2 linked regions of the Caenorhabditis elegans genome follow. The protein of the gene in region 2 purifies or fractionates together with the protein of the main gene of each other region. This does not show direct contact. Each region holds a gene or a part of one and is shown on either strand. Other genes may lie near its edges.

Region 1 (5,917 bases), on a different chromosome or scaffold from region 2:
GCGTAGGCGCGGCAGTGCGGAACTTTGTGGAGAGATGCTTGGGCTTCGGCTTAGGCTTAGGCTTTGGCTTAGGCTTATTTTCAACTTGAAAGTTTTGTGCAGCTTTTAGATTCCAAAAGAATCTCAAAATTTAGAGACATAACCTTCACGTTGAAAATGAAAATATAAATCTATGCTTTTTTTTAAATCTATGTCAGACTGTTTCAGAGGATCCGCACCTCAAAATTAACATGATATTTGTGTTTAACGTGTTCTGAGCATTCTAAAAACTATTTTTTCGACCCAAAAAGCTCAATTTCAATTTTTCGTCTATTTTTTCGGAAGGCAAAGGTCCACTTTCGTTTTTGAGAGCGGAGGACGATTACGGAGATTAGCAGGATTTTTTGAAGGATTTTTTAGGACATTATAAAAACCTCAAAAAAGTGATCATTTTTCAGAATTTCAAGTCGATACGTGGGATATGAAGAGTTTTATGAGCAAAATTGGATTTTTTCAGAAAACGGTCTGTAACTTGGCTGATCATGAAAATTTGAAAATACTTATTATTGTTAAAATGTGAAGAAAAATTTTTTACTTATTATACATTAAAATTTTTTCTTCTGAAATTTAATAGAGTTTGGGTTATGACTGGTACAACAAACGAGTTCTCAAAATTTTTTGTGATTTTTGGCAAAATGGCTTTGACTCTGTGTAACTCAATAAATAATTAATATTTTGTAAGCAAAAGTAATGCAAAAGAAAGAAAATGTATTTCTAATCATTTTTGTAGTTGAACATTTGTTTGTGAGACGTGTATTTTTTGAGATATGCCTGTTTGAAGATACAAAATTTACCGAGTCTAGGAAGATTTGTGGATCACCAAGCCTTAACTTGCACCTTTTGCTGATATATATAATTTTAATGAGGATAATTTAGAATATGACTTTGTTTGATGTGATCAGTTCAGCATTTGGACTGGCAGTAAGTTATCTGGAGTGTTCTTTAGAAATTTCGCAACCATTTTTTTTTGAAATTCCACTGCAGTGCTCATAGTTCTTCTACAAATTTCACACTCTATGATTCAAGAATATTCTTAAAAGTGGTCTATCAGTTTTTGAATTGTTATGGTAATTTTCACACATTATTACTCTTGCACTCTTTTTTTGTTGTCATTTTTTAAATTTGCTATTCTAAAAATTAAAAAAAAAACAAATCTGTTGGCTTCCACATTTTGAAGATGATAGATACTATCAAAATAAAATAAACTAAGAATTATTGTATAAATATTTTCATGTTTTAACACTTAAATACATATTAATATCATTAGTTTCAGAAAATTTACACACAGATTTTTGCAATTATTGATTTTTGCTCATAAAATCCCCCATTTTCAACATTTTCGTTTAAAATTTTGATGAAACATCGTACTTTTAGGTCCTCTATTAGATTCCGAAAGAATTTTTCAAAAATGTTGGCTCATCTCCAAAATCGTCCTCCGCTCTGAAAAACGAAAGTGGACCTTTGCCTTCCGAAAAAATGGGCGAAAAATTGATATTGAGCTTTGTGGGTCGAAAAAATAGTTTTTAGAATGTTGAGAACACGTTAAACACGAATATCATGTTTATTTTGAGACCCGGATGCTCTGAAAGTGCCTAAAATTAAAGCAAAAAATTGTTTTGTATATTCACGTGAAAATGTTTGGACAGGTTTTTCATCCGCTAAATTTTGAGATTCTATAAAGTTGCACAAAAATTTCACGTTGAAAACAAATAATAATAAACCTATACTTTTTCACAGTTTTGTCGTAAATTCCTCGATTCTAGCTAACTTGCCGAGTTAGCCTTATCAGCTACTGCTTTGTTACAATAGACACTAGGCACTTCAGGTAACTCACCATGACTGCCTCCGCAGCGTACAACACAAAAAACGGGTTCCCCCGATACGAATGGTTTCCCTTAAACCTGAATATCGTATAAACTATCATAGAATTCAAAACGACACTGAGAGACAGATAAGTCGCCTGAACCAAATACTCCAATACGGAAAGCATCACATGCGAATCTTCGTTACAAGTGAATGGCAGAGGATCATCGTAGGAAAAGTTAGCGGGGATTATGAGACGGGTGCTCATTTTGGTGGCGGCTTGAAGGAGTCAAAATGAGCCAGCTGACAAGTAGGAGGGGGATAATTATAGCCCTGGGGGGTTTTGTTGTGATGTCAATTTTGGCACGAGGTGCGGAAAAAAGAAAAAGAAACCAAAGTTGTTATATTGTGAATCATTATTATAGGTGTCAGGAAAAAAGTGACAAATTGATTTTTTCATTGTTTAGAGGAGTCTGACAAGCCTTAAGTAGACCGATATATAGATAATTATAGACTTTCGTAAGGTAGGAAAATGTTTGAAAAGTGACAAATTGCTCTACTAACTAGTTATATGACATGACATTATATTTTCAGCTATTGTTGTCTGTACTAAACTAGAGACTAGTTTTTTTTGTCAAAATATTATAGTACTTAGAGCAGATGACATCATAGTTTGTGCTGCCTGTCTGGGTTACTGTAGGAGTACTGTAAAAATACTGTGACGGAAAGGCGAATGACTCATGCTTTCTGTAGTGATCAATGTGCTTCCAATTCTGTTATCAATTGCAAAACCTTGCTCGCTTTTCTTTTCTGCGGCGAACAAAACGTCAACAAACTGATAATCAGTTTCCGTTACTGATAAGAATCTCAACTTTTCTGCCAACCCTCTAGTTTCCGTTGAGCCTACATATAAAAAGGCTGCCTTCCATTACTTTCTTGCATTCTTTTTCTCAAGCGGTCTATCAACTCCGTGAACAATGAATCGTGCACAGTCGGAATCAAACAAAAAACTGGCGGCGTCACAAGAAGCCCGTCAGCCACCTAGCTCACAAGCAAGGCACGGGAATGCAAATTCTGCCAACCAAGGTGAATATAGTCTGCCATTTTTTCTAGTAACTTCCATTAACTTTCAGGTCAAATGAATGGTCTGAAAGTGCTTACAGCTGACAGCTTCAGCTTTCCAATGCCGTACTTTTTATTTCAAAATACCAAAAAAACGTTTAAAAATTAACATTTATTAACAAATCCTTAAAATCAATTATCTCTTTGCTGCAGCATTTTCTCTGGCGGTTTTCATATGGCTTTTGGTCCAGTCGGCCACATTCCGTGCGTTGTCTGCACTTGGTTGATCTGAAAATGTTCAATTATTATAGAAAGTTAACACTAATTAAACTTACATCTATAGTTGGGATTCGCATTTCCCGGACGTCCCTGGTAATTTGAAGAGATTGGAGGCATATCGTTGTGCCGACCGGCCAGGGCTCCGGCCATGTCTTTTCCGACGGTTCCTGGCTGTGAACGTGGTGTAGTGGGCATTTTGGCTGAAATTTGAAAATTTAGTGAGAAAATGAAGAGAAAACTGATTTTTCTATATTATCCGGCCAACTTTTTATACGGGCGGTTTTGCTTGAACCCCGCCCACTTTTCACGCTCTCGTATGATAATTGCTCGTGATTTCGCTATGTGTGAGCAAGAAACAATTGTTTTCAACCGCTATCCCCGTCACAATGGCCACATAAAATTCCATCATAAAACTCTAGTCGGAAATGTGTACGAAGAATGAGTCACAGTTAATAAAAATTACTAATATCTATAAAATGAGCTGGAATACTATTTTTGAAGTAATTGTGACCAACAAATTTAGGGTCAATAAACAATTTTCATTGGATTTTTCTGAAAATAATCCAATGTGTTGTTTGAATTACAGTTTTAAAGCAAAATACCAAAATGGCCAAAAACATATATTTTTTTGAACCATCATGACTTTTCTTAAAAATAAATTTTAGAGCGTTTCATTTCAAAATTCGGCAGTTTTGGACCGTTTTGGATCTAAATAGCAAATGCTCAAATCCACCTTTAAAAATTGAGGTTCAAATAACATATTTAGCCAAATCCAATGAAAAATGTTCATCAAAAAGTCTAGATGATTCCGAACCTTTCTAACCAAATATTATGTCCCTTAACATTACTTCCAAAACTTTTATCTTGTATCAGGTGACCGGAAACTTGAAAATGTTTCGAAAACTATAGCTTCATGCCAATCACTTTGAATTTCTGGTTTCTGGGCTTTGGACCCGGGACTCTGGGCTCGTTGGGGATAGAATATATTGAACTTTCGTCCGAAGAAAAATGATTTTGGCAAACTGTAATTGTTTGCTCACTAAACAATTTACTTTTTTGGCGATTGAAGTGAACGATAAGACACAGGTGGGAGCGAGATTCAAACTAGGCAATATTGTCTAAAACCGTAATATCAAACTGCAGAGCGCATTTTGTTGATTAATTATTTCCAATTTTAGACAGATCCACAACTTGGTCACAATGCCGAACATTTCGATCTTCCTGAATTCTTCGAAAATTGTTTTTTTTGTTTAGAGTGAGCAAACAACCACAGTTCGCCAAAAACATTTGTCTTTGGGCGAAAGTTCAATATGTTCTATTCCCAACGCGCCCAGAGCCCAGAACCCAGAACCTAGAGCTGAAAAAACAGAAGTTCAAAGTGATTGGCAAGAAGCTAGAGTTTTCATAACATTTTCAAGTTTCCGGTCACTTGATACAGGATAACAGTTGTGGAATTAATGTTATGGGACATGATGATTGATTAGGAATGTCCTGTAGTGCATACGGTAACCTCTAAAACTTTTCATCGACATTTTTTATTGGATTTGGCTGAATATAAGCCAAAATGTTATTTGAACTCCAATTTTTAAAGATAGTGTTCCGAATATTGAAAATTCGTTTTTTCGCTGTATTCCAGCTCATTTTATTGATATTAGTAAATTCTATAATATTAACCGTGACTCATTCATCGTACACATTTCCGATCAGAGTTTTACGATGGAGTTTTATGTGGCGCCATTGTGACGGGAATAAGTGCAAAAACAATTTTTTGCTCACCTAGCGAAGTCACACGCAATTATACGAGTTTCTGATAAAAGAGCGTGAAAAGTGGGCGGGGTTCAAGCAAAACCGCCCGTATAAAAAGTTGGCCGGATAATATAGAAAAATCAGTTTTCTCTTCATTTTCTCACTAAATTTTCAAATTTCAGCCAAAATGCCCACTACACCACGTTCACAGCCAGGAACCGTCGGAAAAGACATGGCCGGAGCCCTGGCCGGTCGGCACAACGATATGCCTCCAATCTCTTCAAATTACCAGGGACGTCCGGGAAATGCGAATCCCAACTATAGATGTAAGTTTAATTAGTGTTAACTTTCTATAATAATTGAACATTTTCAGATCAACCAAGTGCAGACAACGCACGGAATGTGGCCGACTGGACCAAAAGCCATATGAAAACCGCCAGAGAAAATGCTGCAGCAAAGAGATAATTGATTTTAAGGATTTGTTAATAAATGTTAATTTTTAAACGTTTTTTTGGTATTTTGAAATAAAAAGTACGGCATTGGAAAGCTGGAGCTTTCAGCTGTGGAGCTGTGGAGCTGTGAGGAAAGTATCGGAGTTTGTTCAGAACCTGTGGAAGCCGGGAGGGGTCTTGTCTGTAAAAACCGAGAGAGCTTCCTTGCATGTTAGTTTTTGCTCACAAATAGCAACTGACCAACTGTTCAAAAAAAAAAACTAGTGGACGTTCTCATTGGCTGGTCCCACTCAGAGTACTGTAGAAAGGCACAGACGTAGAATAGAACAACTTACGAAAACTCAGGTTCAGGGCAAGCAAATTGTAAAGACAACGCATCCTGGAGCATGGGTAGGATGCTGAGAGCTCCAAACGCAATAATCGCTATTCTTGTAGGCTATAATTATCTAGAGGCGCGTAAGTACTATTTTAATTGAAAAGAGCTTGGCCTTACTTACTTATTTACCGTAATGGTACAGTAAAAACACTTTTGCAAG
Region 2 (7,879 bases):
CAAGTTGAAAAACAGTTTTCAGCAATATGGTGATGATGCTATTGATACTTTATTTTTATTCGAACTATTTCTCCTCAGCATCAGTTTTTGTTCGTCTTCCTCCAAATCTATGTTGATCCAATCCTCATTTTGTGAATATCAATGCATCCTCTTTTTATTGTGCACTCTTTCAATTTCGGGATAAAGCTCTGCTCTTTTGGCGAGGACGAGTCGCAAATGCGACACTCGCGCACACGACGACGAATCGCACCAGCGATTCACCACGTCGCAACGACAAAACTCGCATCGCCGATAACGAAGAGGACCGCCGGTGCGACATAGATGTCGCAATGGAAACCCGTTGGCGACTTGCGAATCGCTCCGACGACACCGCCGGCGATGTGGACTCGCAATGTTGGAGCAGTTGGATGTTGCGTGTCCGCGTCGCGACGAGCCAGCGATAGGCGACAAATGCAGGCAGCAGTGGCTCAATTGCGGCGACGACCCGCACATTTTCTCGGCTGTCTCTTTTCGTTGAGACGCCTTGCTGGGAGATGAGGCGCGAAGAGAAAGGAGTCCTCATTCTGTCATTTGGAGAGGGAAAAATGGGTGAGAGAAAAAGAAAAGGTAATAGAGATGTCCAGTGTGTGTTCCGATTAGAAGAAAGTTTCGAAATTTGAGGGAACTGGGTTGAGCGCAACGAATGTGAAATCAGAGATTAGTTGTGATAATTAAGAATGTTAAAATAGAAAAAAAATATATGTTGTGTCATTTTATGTTTTAATTTTATTAACTGATTTACCCAAAATTGAAACAAAGCATAGCGCCAGTAGATAATGTTCAAAATTGCTTTTATGGAGCTAGTTACATATTTAAGTAAAACTTTCTAAAAACTATTTCTAAAAAGTTGTATTACTATCAAAAAGTGGCATTTTCCTTGTTTACAACTATTTAAACTTCATTCGCCGACCAAATAATTTACTACAAGCTTGATATTTTTATTGTATTTTAATAATTTATGGTTGAAGATTGTATGGCTTTATACGGGCACTTTTAATTTTTTATTATTAGCTAATTCGTCAAAACTGTAACTGAGAAACTTAAGTCTAAACAATCTTTGAATTGTTCATCTAATCTTTGAATGAAGCTTTGAAAATGAATGTATTTTTTCCTAATTTTCCAAAAAAATGTATGTACCTTTAAACTTGTTGCATAAATGTTGAACCAATCTTCTTTTAGAAGATCCCACGACTTTTCCGCTGATTGGTGTTGCAATAGCCGGAGATTGAACAGTATTGCGGCGTTAAAGCAAGGACTAAAACAGAGCTGGAAAATTGTATTTTAAAGGTTGTTATTTTTATAAATTTGATGTTAATCACCTGGTCAATGCAAAGTTTTTTAACAAGAAGTAGTGATTTATTATTTCCTTTCACTTTTTCCAGCAAACGAAACCATATGAACAATGATGGCGCCTGAATAAACTATAAAAAAAATTTCTTAAAGGCAAGTTTCACCATAAAACAACTTGACAAAAATGAAAATCGGGCCGTCCTCCAACGATCCCATTCTTGGTTATGCGATAAGTATTGCGCTAAACAGTCACCAGATCCACTGATTGTTCCTGGAAAGTACTCTTCATATTTCCAAATTTATAACCAATTATCTATCCTCTTTCTTCTATCAAGCAACTTGTCTTGCCTGAACCAAACCATCACAACACGAAAGATGCGCAAATACATTGTTGGCGCGTTTTGTGTGCACAATTTAGTTTTTAAATCATAGAGTGGTCAATTTTAATTATGTAATCGGTTTTTTGCTGTCACCCTGATATAAATTTTAAATATTTGATTCAATACGTTTTCGATCAATTTTTTTTAAGTTTTGTTCATTTGTTTATTAAATATGAATATCAGGCTATCACGTTTCAGTTTATCGATAATTCGATTCCGGTCAACCAGAAAAAGTCAATTGGGAAACTTCAATTCTTGGATATATCCTGTTTTTGGGAAATAGTTGTCTTAAATTAGCAGAAAGATAAGATAAATATTTTTTTCAAGAAGAATGTTCACAACGAATGTAAATAGAGCAATTTCAAAAAATTGAGCTGGAATAACGAAAGAGCAATTTATTGTGTTTAAAACAATTTTTAATTAGTTCTAGCTTACTTTTCTATCCGATAAGTCTCTAACATAATAAGGTTTGCTTATAAATTAACGTAGGATTTACTTTTAAAACAAATTCAGCTAAACATGTTTATATTGCCAATCTTGTCTTAAAATTTGTGTTTCCTTTTTTATCATGTTCCTCGAGTTTCCATACTCACCAGCTATGCACATCTGCGTTGAAAGTGGATTTGTTGCTAATCTTCGTCGAATAAATAGTATTATTACCATAATTGTATCCCTGAAACTGTTTTTATATTCAATAATTCTCCAAATTTTGCCTGAAACTATTGAAAAATAGACTAACAGCTTATTCACAAGCTGCAATTCACACGTACGTGCCAAACATCAATACGAGCGTTTGTACTAAAGTCCACTTTCTCAATGGAGCGCGTTTACTGTGGTTAGGAAAAAATTGCGTGGCCTAGATACCACCGAACGCGCGCACCTTACCTTTTCTCCCTGTGTTTAGTGTTGTCCCCATTTTATATCTCCCCCTCCTCTCTGCCCACTAGTCTGTTAAATTATCGATTTTAATCCTCTTCTTTTTCATTCTAATTCCAAACAAATCAAAACTTTCTTTTTGAAACAAACGTTCTTTAATGATTTATATTTACAATTTTTGTCCCAATTTTTTAATACCAAAATATTATATTCAGAGTAGCGACCTCAACTCGAAATGCCGGTTAGAATCGATTTGAGCTCCAATGCATCGGTCAGACTGCTCAGTGTCAACGATGAGAACACCGCATGCGCATATTTGGCAAATCTCTACATTCCAATCTTCTCCCTAGATTCTGGAAAGGTGATTCGTCGCTATGAGGTGCCCAACCAGATTGCTGGAATTCATTTCAGTTTCAATAAGAAATGTGAGAAAGAGATTTAAAATAAAAATGAAATAAATTGTTAAATTTCAGCTGTAATCTACGCGGTCGACGATTCATTTGGACTTCACACTTTTGATTTCCGCACCGACTCGAAGAAGAAGCATCGCATGAACCCAGAGTCTGAGAATCACAACGTCGTCTGCACTGCATTGTCGTCGAACAGCACAACTATTGCAGTCGCTAGCTCCGAGTTTGGAGGTGGAATCCTTGACGTTCGGGGTTCTCGACGTCGTGAGCATCATCATCATGTTGTTTCACTTTACGACCTGCGTTACCCGAATGATCCAATTACTAGCTACTTCGTAAGTGTGTCATCAAGATGGAATTTCAGTGTTGGGTTGGGTTTATCGCCTGTAGAGACTCAAATTGTTCCGGAAAAATCAAAACTTTAAAAAAGTTGCAAAATGACAGATAAAATATCAAATTTTGCATTATTTTCCGTGCTCTGGAAGTTGCGAAATAGCTTTTATGTAATTCTTATCCTTTGTGGTACATTTTAGTCGTTTTTTCTTTTGTTAATTATAGTACATTTAAAGTCAATAGGTAACCAAAATGACCAAAACATTACCTGTCGGCCTAAAATGTACTTTATGTTACAAAAAATTGAGATAAACGACTGCAATGAAAAATGATTGTTAAATAAAAATAAATTTCGGATCGCTGCGACACGGAAAAATTTGAAAAATTGGAGGTTTTAGCTAAAATTAGGCAACTTTTATCGAAATTTTGAACCGCAATATACATTTTTAAAACAAAAGTTGAGAAGTCTTATTACTAATTGTAAATTCGTTCAGTCTGGCACATTTCAAGTATATACAAGTAAAAATCGCAAAATCGATTAACACAACCACAATAATCATCAGACTTTGAAAAAAATTTTGTATTTTTTGTCATTATATATTGGCAACAAAATTATAGTACGATATTTAAAAAAATCACAAATTTTTTTTTTTCAGAAACGGCTCAAATCGTCAGTAACAAGTATGGAGTTTTACTTGAACGGAAACGATCTGATCCTAGGAGATGAGAGCGGCTCCATCAAGTCGTTTGACTGTCAACTTCGAGATGAAGATAATGCTGTTCGGTGGGAGCGCTGGGCAACGGGACCCATCTCCAAAGTTGGAGTGATCAACAAGCGAATTGTGTATGGAATCTCCCGACAATCTCAAGCTTCAGTATTTGTTGACAGTAAAGGAAAATTGGAGGTTCTCTATGGAAGTGTCACTGAAAGCGCCGATGATCCAGTTGTTGGGACTTCAAAGTGAGTTTTTGTAGTAAATTGATCGCAACTCTAAATCAAAAAAAAAACATTTCAGAGCATATTACAAGGATCCAGAATGGTGCATTGGGCTCATCAAAGGAGTGAACGACGATATTCCATTGGTGGGGGTTCATGGTGTCAAGAAGAAGAAAATTGTAAGGGTTTAAGTCTCAAATCAAACTGAATTGCAACTGAAACTTTTCTTCCAGATCTCTATGACAGCAATGAACCAAGATGGTGTCCGTCAAGAGAAGCCAATGTTGAGCTACAAAGGTCACAAAGGAGAAGTGAAGTGCATGGCCGCAACCAAGGATCTTCTGCTCACCGGCGGAGAAGATGGAAAAGTTATTGTGCAGATTGCCAATTTTAAGTAAGTATACTTTGAGAAGGACAGGAAACTAATGTAATAGATGCTAAAAATTAGAAACAAATCAGAGTTTGAAAAATCATTTGATAAAACAATGAAACCATTGAACAATTTCTATTGCATTGCCAGATTTTTTGATATGCGATTTTTAGATTTTTATTAACCTCTAAAAAGTTGAAGTTGATTATTTTCATTCGCAAGTTGATTGAGCATGAAAAACAACCATTTTAAATTATAAATTGTAACTTTTATAGTGCCTTAAAATATTCAAAATTGCCAGTTCAAAATGTTTTTAAAAAACTTCGAAGTTATGTTTTTTTGAACCATTTTGGGTCTAAAATAACAATGTATCAAACTTCAGTACTCCACCAATATCCATTAAAGCAGCACATTTACACCTTGAAAATCAGAAAGTGTTTACATTTTCCATATTCACTGTAGATCTTGCCATCAAAAACTTAAATGCATATCGCATAACAACTTTTATTTTCAGAAACCCCAAGTTTGGCGATGACAACATTAACCACCACCGTCTGACACTGAACCGTGGCAATTTGGCAGAACTTAAAGACAAAGGTCTCGAGAAAGACGATGAAGCTATCTCCGAATCTGATGATTCCGAGTCGGATGATGGATCAAAGCCAAGTACATCTGCATCTGCATCAGTGTCTTCTTCTTCGAAACATAAGAAGGACAAACACGACATTCCATCAACTTCATCGGCAGCTTCTACTTCGTCATCTTCTTCATCCAAACATGAAACAAAAGAGGAGCGCAAAGCACGAAAGGAAAAGGAACGTGAACGAGCGGAAAAGAAGGCTAAGAAGGAGAAAGATGGTCATCGGGAGGAGGAAAAGCCCAAGAAGAAGGATAAAAAGCACGAAACTGAGGAGGAACGCGCGGAACGTAAGCGAAAGGAAAAGAAAGAAAAGGAGCGTCAGGAGAGAAAAGAGAAGGAACACGATGAGCAAAAGAAAAGACACCGCGACAATGAAGAGGGAGCTGGATCGAGCTCTAAACGGTCCAAAGCTCCATAGGCAATTCATAATTTTTGTTTTATATTTATTTATTTATTTATCACTTTCAACCCCAGTTCTTCTCCCAAAAGCCTTATCATTTTTCGCCCATTTAAATTAAGTTATAATTTATTGAAATTATAATATCATAGAACAAAATTTCGCTCATCCCAAGCATTTCTTTATTGATTTTTTGTTAAATTTACACCAGTCTTACTTTCAGTCTCGGATCTCCTTGCAACTATTGATCCCCATGATTCAAATTTATTGAGCATTCCTCAGACAGATCTACCTAAAAGTCTATTTTTTGTTGAATAAATTGCAATTGAAAAATGGGTAAAACTTTGAAATTAGTCTTAACCACTTATGTTGGAATAACACTTTACATTAAAATCTGAGTCTAACAATTATTAAGAAAAAAAATCTGAGTCTAACAATTATTATTATTATATTTAGTTTCATTTAACTTCCAATAACACCATTCTACCAGAGTGCTAGAGTGCTGCTATAGATGTTTGCCTTTATGTAAATGAACTCGATTAATAATGCAAAAAACTTATGGAGGTATGGGGAATTGAACCCCAGCCCTCTCCCATGCTAAGGGAGCGCTCTACCACTGAGCTATACCCCCAGATGACAACAGGTGTCAATTGGATGTTGAGATTCCCGGTAGAACATTCCACGGAATTTAGGTCTTTGCGATTGTCATCAACGACAGGGAAAACTATCGCAAGTCAACATATAGACAGGTTTTTCCGTATAAATTGCATCACAGCGCGCAATAAAGCAAATATAGAAAAGTATCTTTCAAATTGAGTACGAGTTTCTTATTCAATACTGTCATTGGTTGCTGTGTTCCTTCAAAATTTCAACTACACATGTTGTACAAAATAATTATTACAAAAGTAAGAAGATAATAGCATTCTCCGTTAGCCAAGTTGCAATGAAAATTAAATTAAACAGTATGTGCAAATGTTCATAAAAGAATTATAACCAAAAAGCAGTAATTGTAACCACGACGCCTAATATCTTTAAATTAGTTAATTACTGTTAAATGAAATTGGTTATATGATATCATTTAAAACAAAACTTGTTCTACACAGAAAACAAAAAAAATGTTTTCAAAATATTTGCCTCGTTATTCCAATTTTACATTTAAAAAATCAGATAATTATTTGATATTTATTTTCCTGACTTTAGAAAAACTTACTATTAAAACACTATCTAATTGAAAAAAAAACTATTGATTAGAAAAATAGTATGACTGATCAGATCGATGTTTCTTTTACATACTGGGGACCGTTTTTACTGTTTCAATACGTTTTATGAAAGAACTGCCTTAGCCCTTTCCAGATCGAAGTAAATTATTTTTTATTGAATCACATTGTGAGTATCGGTAATAATAGAACTGGAACTTATGCTTTGAGATCGGAAGATAAACAATTATCACGCTCAATTAGTTGTGTGACGAGGTGATTCACTTGAGGATACAGTGATCGGTTGAGCTGCTGATCCAGAAGGTTGGAATGAGGGGTAAAATCCGTTGAAGAAAGTGTCAAATGGAGTTTTACGAGGCGGGGATCCAGAATCTCGACGATTTCGCTTGTGCTGCACATCTGACATAAATTTGGTGAGCATTATGATTTGACAAAAAAAAACCAACTTTCTGGAAGCATTCCAATTTCCAGACATCGTTTCATTCGACAACTCCGACAAATCTTCCGATACCCAGTTCCATCGCGGCTTGCATTATTGCACCGTTGGTTCCTCTTACAGACATATCGTTTGTCATCGCTGATAGTTCTTCTGAAATTTTATGATGGGGTTTTTTAACTTAACAGTTTTCTGTGTAGCACACAGGCTTTATTGAGTCATACTGGTTTGAACTGAAGCATTGACAACGAAATAAAATTAAACAGTGTGTTTTAACATTTACAAGCATTCAAAACATCAAAACAAATCATCATCAAAAATGTAGTAGCGATAATTGTTTTAATATGATACTTTGAAAAAAGTTATAAGATGGTTTAAAGTCAGAAAAAAGTAATCCTTAAAGCTGCGAATATTACAAAAATTTTTGACGCGCTTGACAAATTGATTTTTGTTTCAATTCTGTTCATTTAACTACAAAACAATTAAAATTAACCTTCAATCGCTGCGACACGCAAAGTTTTTAAATCAAAGATTTCAGCTAAGCTTATCTAATA

The links.
Region 1: the proteins of T18D3.1 (region 2) and Y105C5A.13 fractionate together in Caenorhabditis elegans (co-fractionation; one large-scale study listed by BioGRID). This does not show direct contact.

What each region holds. Positions count from the first base shown.
Region 1 is NC_003282.8:15,638,412-15,644,328, forward strand, and holds Y105C5A.13 (SMP domain-containing protein), read left to right. Parts: upstream 1-2,819; coding exon 2,820-2,928; intron 2,929-3,064; exon of another isoform or gene 3,065-3,100; coding exon of another isoform or gene 3,101-3,192; intron 3,193-3,239; coding exon of another isoform or gene 3,240-3,378; exon of another isoform or gene 3,379-3,388; intron 3,389-5,111; coding exon 5,112-5,255; intron 5,256-5,302; coding exon 5,303-5,394; 3' UTR 5,395-5,417; downstream 5,418-5,917. Other genes in the region: Y105C5A.12 (SMP domain-containing protein), read right to left, coding at 3,101-3,192, 3,240-3,378.
Region 2 is NC_003284.9:12,451,945-12,459,823, forward strand, and holds T18D3.1 (WD repeat-containing protein 89), read left to right. Parts: upstream 1-2,800; 5' UTR 2,801-2,820; coding exon 2,821-3,010; intron 3,011-3,058; coding exon 3,059-3,330; intron 3,331-3,984; coding exon 3,985-4,289; intron 4,290-4,344; coding exon 4,345-4,444; intron 4,445-4,498; coding exon 4,499-4,659; intron 4,660-5,149; coding exon 5,150-5,693; 3' UTR 5,694-6,013; downstream 6,014-7,879. Other genes in the region: T18D3.9 (Mitochondrial inner membrane protein Mpv17), read right to left, coding at 1,177-1,305, 1,359-1,451, 1,494-1,600, 2,303-2,372; Nuclear hormone receptor family member odr-7, read right to left, coding at 7,125-7,288, 7,336-7,478.